Linked DNA regions of Sus scrofa. The protein of the gene in region 2 purifies or fractionates together with the protein of the main gene of each other region. This does not show direct contact. Links are inferred from orthologs where the notes say so. Each region holds a gene or a part of one and is shown on either strand. Other genes may lie near its edges.

Region 1 (3,519 bases), on a different chromosome or scaffold from region 2:
TTTCCGCTTTGAATGGTCCCCAGCACCATTTGTGAAAGACTTTCCCCATTGAATGGCCTTTGCCCTCTTGTTAATAGGGTGAAGTTAGCATGAATAAGAGTTTATTTCTGGACTCCTCAGTGCCAGTCTATGGGAATATGTTGATCCTTTGGCCAGTAAAACACTATCCTGATTTCTGTTTTGTGGTTTTTATAAATTTCAATTTGAAATCACTTAATGTGAATGCTTCAACTTTGTTCTCTTCCAAGGTTGTTTGTGGCTACTTTGGGTTCTTGGAATTTCAGTATGAGTTGTAGGATCAGTTTATAAGCCAGCTAGGATTCTTTTAGAGATTGTTAAATCTGTAGATTAATTTGGAGAGTTGCCACTTTAATCTTGTACTGTCTGTGTGTGTGGAATGTTTCTATTTTAATTTCTTTAAATATCCATTTTCTTTAAATTCTCAGCTGTAAAAAACAACTCACTGTTTACTATCTTCACTATTTAAGTCTACAGTCCAGTAGTTTTAACCATATTCACATCGTTGTGTGACATCTCAGAACTCTACTGAAAACCATAACTGTTGAACAAAAAGTCCCCATTTCTGCCTCCTCCCAGCCCCTGGCGACCATCAATCTTTTGGTTTCTGTAAAAAGTGATTACTTGAGATATTTCAGTGTAAGTGAACTTACACGGTATTTGTCTCTTTGTGATACCTTCTTTCACTTGGCATTATGCCCTGAACACTTATCCATGGGCTGCATTTGACAGGATTTTCCTTAAGACTGAATATTCCACAATATGTATACATAGGTATATGATGTGGGTTTTTTGCCTTTTTAGGGCTGAACCCAAGGCATATGGAGGTTCCCAGGCTAGGGGTCCAATTGGAGCTGTAGCCGCCAGCCTACGGCCACAGCCACGCCACGTTGGAGCCACGTCTTCAAACTACACTACAGCTCACGGCAACCCACTGAGCAAGGCCAGGGATCAAACCCTGCTGAGTCGTGCCGGGAACGCCTATGGATTTTTTTTTTTTTTTTGTCTTTTGTCTCTTGTCTTGTCTTTTTAGGGCCACACCTGCGGCATATGGAGGTTCCCAGGCTAAGGGTCTAATCAGAGCTGTAGCCCCCAGCCTACACCACAGCGACACCAGATCCGAGCTGCATCTGCGACCTACACCACAGTTCACTGCAACGCCAGATCCTTAACCCACTGAGCGAGGCCAGGGATCGAATCTGCAACCTCATGGTTCCTAGTCAGATTCGCTTCCACTGCGCCATAGCGAGAACTCCTGATTTTTTTTTAATACATTTTTAACTGTTGAACATTTGTGTTTCTTCTGCCTCTTAGTAATTAGGAATGTTATGCTGCAGTGAAGATGAAAGCACAGATTATCTTTAAGACCATGCTTTCAGTTCTTTTGTCAACCCCCACAAGTTTGAAAGTTCTTTATACCTTGATTGACTAAGCTTGTAGGTTCATCCATTTCCTGGATAAGTTTTTTAGATTTTTTGAGTCCCTCAGTAATAAGGACTTGCTTCATTTGTAGTGACGATGATGATGACTTTGATGATGAGGAAGCGGAAGAAAAAGCTCCAGTAAAGAAAGTAAGTAAGACACAGTAAAGTAAGATTGTCAGAAATGGCTAAAAACAGAAAATGATGGGGATTTTTTTAGTGCTGTTGGCTTCGGAGACAGTCTCTAAGTCCTGAGTAGGGCTGTCCTGGAAATTTTCCTAATAGTGGGGAATGATCTATTTTCTTCAGCTGTATGGACTTCTCCCTATTATACCCCTTTTGCCAAGATAATTGTTTCCTCTTAGTTTGCTGCTTTTATATGGTTTGGCAAGTTTTATTTGCACTAATAAGTCATATAGGAGGAGCATTGATTAATAATTTCTAATTGCAGTCAATACGGGATACTCCAGCCAAAAATGCACAGAAATCAAACCAGAATGGAAAAGACTCAAAACCGTCAACACCAAGATCAAAAGTAAGTGGTAACATACACATCAGTACAGGCTCCACTGAAGTAATTAGGTTCTAGAACCTAAAATCTGTTAGACCTTTGGAGAACACCTGTGGTTGGTAAAAATGCTTGTTGGTAATCACTCAAATACATAGACAGTTGATCCTTGAACAGTTTATGTTTGAACTGCATGCACGGGTCCATTGTTACACAGGATTTTTTTCAGTTGTAAATACTCCAGGACTGCACATCCACCTTTTGGTTGAGGAACCACAGATGTGGAGGGCTTGTAATTAGTTACACACAGATTTTCTGTCACATAGAGGGCCAGTTTATTGTGTAGCTGACTTCTAATGGAAGAGAAAGTCAACAAAGATTTTTTTATTGTGATACGAAGTTGTGTCAAGGGTCTTATAGTGCAGTTTCTCGGTGTTGGCTGCATCTTGGGGAGGTGATCATTTATATGCTAGGGAATGGGCCTCTGGGCATCAAGCTGCATTAACTTTCTTGCTTCCTTTATGTGTAGAACTTGACCTGGTATTAAATACAAATGTAGGCTCAAACTATTTTCTATTCTCTAAGGAATAATTTAAGCACAAAAAATAGCTGCTGCAGTGACAATGCTGGATTCTTAACCCACTGTGCCACAGGAGAACTCCTATACTTGTTTTTCACAAGAAAAGCTTTGTAAGAATTTCATTTATTGAGAAAATTCAGATAGAATGAGTCTTAACAGCTCTGTGTACTCTTAGGATGTTGAAATTTGCCTTTTTTTTCCAGGGTCAAGAATCCTTCAAAAAACAGGAAAAAACTCCTAAAACACCGAAAGGACCTAGTTCTGTAGAAGACATTAAAGCAAAAATGCAAGCAAGTATAGAAAAAGTGAGTAAAGCTGTCTTAAAGAAAACAGGATTGGTTTATTTCTCCTTCAGATGATGCCTTTCTGGGATTTGGAACAGGACTCTTCTTCCTCATTTTTTTATCTTCAATACACCACTCCTTTTGTGGTGTGAAATTCCTTCAAAAATGGATTACAAGTTACTTACATTATACTTCATATGGTGATTTTTTTTTCCCCACACATTTCAATTTACATATGCTTTATTTCCCACTAAAAGGAATACAAGTAAATAAGTCGTGGGATACATTCTGTCTTCAGATTTTAAAGTGAGCTCAATGAGAACATTTACCTTTGCCTGTTCTGGTTCTGGTTATAAGATGCTATGGAGCCAGCAGGGGGCGTATGAATCTTGTCTAAAATTTCACACAGCTGCAAGAGTCCAGTCTTTGGCTGCTTGGTATTGTAGGGGTTTTTCGTTTTTATTTTGTTTTTTTTTTTTACTTTATTTTTTTGCTTTTTAGGGCCACACTCCTGGCATACAGAGGTTCCCAGGCTAGGGGTCTAATCGGAACTGTAGCCGCGAGCCTACACCACAGCCACATCAACGCCAGATCCTAGCTACATCTGCCACCCAAACCACAGCTCACGGCAATGCCCAGTACTTAACCCACTGAGCGAGGCCAGGGGTTGAACCCAAAACCTCATGGTTCCTAGTTGGATTTGTTTCT
Region 2 (3,128 bases):
CGTGAGTGCTGTTTAGTCAACCGCAACAGCAAACAACACAGTCACCCTGTGAATCACTTATTCTCATGTTACCGGATACTCGAGGTGCTGAGAGCATAAATCCTGCCTGCATCTGAATGTGACACGTGACCATGTGCTGCAGGGCTGTCCTGGTTAATACAATTTTAAGAAAACAGAGAAGCGTCAATTTAAAGAAAACTAGGGGGTTCCCGTTGTGGCTCAGTGGGTTACAAATATGACTAGGATCCATGAGAATGTGGTTTGATCCCTGGCCTTGCTCAGTGGGTTAAGGATCCAGAGTTGCTTTGGGCTGTGTGGGTCCCAGATGTGGCTCACTTCTGGTGTGGTTGTGGCTGTGGCTGTGGCCGGCAGCTGCAGCTCCGATTTGACCCCAGCCCGGAAACCTCCATATACCAGCCACCCTAAACAGCACAAAAGAGAGAAAGAAAGAAAGAAAACTAGAGGAAGAGAATAATCTTCTGATTAATAACCCTCTGACATTAAATATATTCATAGACAGAGAAGCTTTATTCAAATGTCTACATCGAAGTGAGTTGAGGTTGAATGGGAAAAGGTTTTTCCAAAGGGTTAAAATTTACCAAACAACAGAATCCAGTGGTTCCCTTTCGTTGAATGACACATGATCGCTGGATTGCTGGTATCTGCCCCTCACGAATCATTTTTACCACACGCAAAATCCACAAAAATCTAAAAGTCTTTCTTGGCTGGTACTTCCATGTCCCTGGAAATCTCTTAAACCGCTTTCAGTCACAACAGAAAGGCCAGGTTTTTAATCTGCTCATACTCTGGGCCAGTGGAGGCCAAAAGCACCCCCGCCCCCAGTTCTCTTGTTTAAATTGCAGCCGTTGGCAAACAGTGTCCAGGCGAATAAGTCAGCGCTACCACAAGAGAACACAGTACAATCGCTGTAAAACAGTAGCACCGCTTCAATTTTTCTCATTAAAAAATTGCTTTTATTATTATTCTCTCTCCACAAAGAATTTATAAAAAAATACCTGTAAAAACATCGCAAAGGCACTTTAAAATCCTGGAATGAAACATTCTAACGTATAAACTATGATACATCTTCTCTGATTTTTCAAAGGAGAATAAAATTCCACGAGTGCGAATTTCTGAATGATTTTGATAGGAATTTACCAGAAGGAGCCAGGACATCAAACCTGAACGATTTTCTATTTTCGTCCCATTGAGTTTTTTGAAAAGCTACGATCTGGTGACAGGCACAGTGCACAGAGGAAGTGGCTGCTGCCACTAAGGATGAAATCAATCTGAAGGACAGAAAGTTGTATGCTACCTGAGTCAGGCTCTTCCATGCAACTGCCTGAGGTGGTCTTCTTTTAACTTTTCCCTTGTGTTTTAAATAAATGTAAATAGACATATGGTTAAAAAAAAAAAAAATTACATGGTACAGAAAGATCTAAAATAATCAATAAATATTCTTTTCTCCCATAACCTAGAACACCTGATGTCTTCAAAAGCATCCAACAGTCACATGAATAATTTTCAAAGTGACATCAACCTTGGAGTCTCTTCATCTGAAAAATTTTTCTCAGGGCTTGTGGAATGTGTTGATTCTCTCATACATCACCTCGGTTACAGAGGAAAGCCATACGGTCTTCTCCACCTTAAAAAAAACGAATTACAAAAGCAATGCGTGCACACAGCTCTGGGACGGCAAGTCCAGACGGCACCTCACACGTCCTCCGCGGATCTGGTCCTGCAACGGGCAGAGTCCTGGGTATCATCTCTGAAATTCAGGAATCACATTTATTAACAAGGCATTAAAAAAAAACAACTTTCTTTTAATCCAAATGAGGTCATCTGGTCTTTGTGAAGTGGAGAGGACTCCTCTGGCAGAGATGCACGTTGTCTGGTCATAAAGTCAAGGAGAACATTGTTCAAAAGAATCCCAGGCACTCAAGTTAAAACTTAGTCGGATCTTTTCCAGAGAACAAAGGGCAGGCGGGGCAGCAAAGGACCAAGGATGGAGAAGGCAAATTCCTTCAGAGGTGATGGGAGGCTGGGTGGTTTTCCCCCAAGTGCACTCATTCTCTGGGGGGGCAGGGGAGGCTTCCAGCGACACCGGCGGCGGGAGCTCAGCCGAGCCCTTCCTGAATGCCCCGGATCCTCCTGGCCAGCTGGATGTCCTTGGGGAAGAGAGTCACGCGGCCGGCGTGCAGGGAGAGGAGGTAGGCGTCCTCAAAGAGATGAACGAGAAACGCTTCTGCCGCCTGGGGACAGAGAGAGAGGTAGAAAGGCTGACACAGACCAGGGGGATGGAGGCGGGCAGGGGGCACCTGCTAACTGAGTCTCTAAGGGCTCAAAGGACATGGGAGAGACTGTTCGCCAGCCAGCATGAATCCACCCTTCAACCCCCTGGGTGTTCCCTGTTGCTCTTTGCTAGGAGGTGAGGCGTTCCTTTGTGGCGCAGCGGGTGAAGGAGCTGGTGTTGTCACTGCAGCAGCCTGGGTCACTGCTGTGGTTTGGGTTCGATCCCTGGCCCGGGACTTAGGAACTTCCACATGCTGCAAGCGGGGCCAAAATAAATAAATAATACATAAATAAAATAAAATAAAAAATAAAGGAGGTGAGATTCAGCGCTACCTTTCTCCCACATGCACCCCTCACCCAACTGGACCTGGGCCCCCTTCTCACCTCTTGTAGGGCCAGCAGGGCCTGGGCTTGCCAATTGAAATCCACACCACGAGTGAACTGAACACATATTTCTCGTGCCTGGGAAAGACGGGGGATGGCGAGCAAGCGAGAAGGGGAGCGGGGAGGAGCAGAGAGGAAAGGGAGATTCAAGAGAGGACAGCCTCTCTCCGTGAGTCTCCAGGAATCTCCGTTTCCGCTTTTCCTCCCCGGCCCTTCGTCCGAGGACCTGACTAGTGGCTGGGGTCAAGTCCAGGGAGCCTGGAGATGGCACGTCTCTTCTTGTGGGGGGTGGAGCGGAGGAGACCATGTCCCAGGGCGGGGCAAGGGATGAAAGGGTGGCTGGATGAGAGGGTTCGGGTTTGCATAATCAAAGGACATAATGTCTCTATAAAACTGGATTGTGATGTCATCGTACAACTATAAATGTAATGAATTCATTGGGTAATAAAAAA

Evidence for each region. The genes of interacting proteins can lie anywhere in the genome.
Region 1: the proteins of CENPA (region 2) and NPM1 purify together in Homo sapiens (affinity purification with mass spectrometry; 4 studies listed by BioGRID and IntAct, with this or other methods). This does not show direct contact. The link is inferred for Sus scrofa from reciprocal best matches to the Homo sapiens genes CENPA and NPM1.

The regions. Positions count from the first base shown.
Region 1 is NC_010458.4:52,771,847-52,775,365, reverse strand, and holds part of NPM1 (nucleophosmin), read left to right. Parts: intron 1-1,531; coding exon 1,532-1,589; intron 1,590-1,890; coding exon 1,891-1,974; intron 1,975-2,730; coding exon 2,731-2,832; intron 2,833-3,519. UniProt on the Homo sapiens protein: Involved in diverse cellular processes such as ribosome biogenesis, centrosome duplication, protein chaperoning, histone assembly, cell proliferation, and regulation of tumor suppressors p53/TP53 and ARF.
Region 2 is NC_010445.4:112,263,407-112,266,534, forward strand, and holds the end of CENPA (histone H3-like centromeric protein A), read right to left. Parts: intron 2,755-3,128; coding exon 2,677-2,754; intron 2,253-2,676; coding exon 2,118-2,252; 3' UTR 506-2,117; downstream 1-505. UniProt on the Homo sapiens protein: Histone H3-like nucleosomal protein that is specifically found in centromeric nucleosomes. Replaces conventional H3 in the nucleosome core of centromeric chromatin that serves as an assembly site for the inner kinetochore.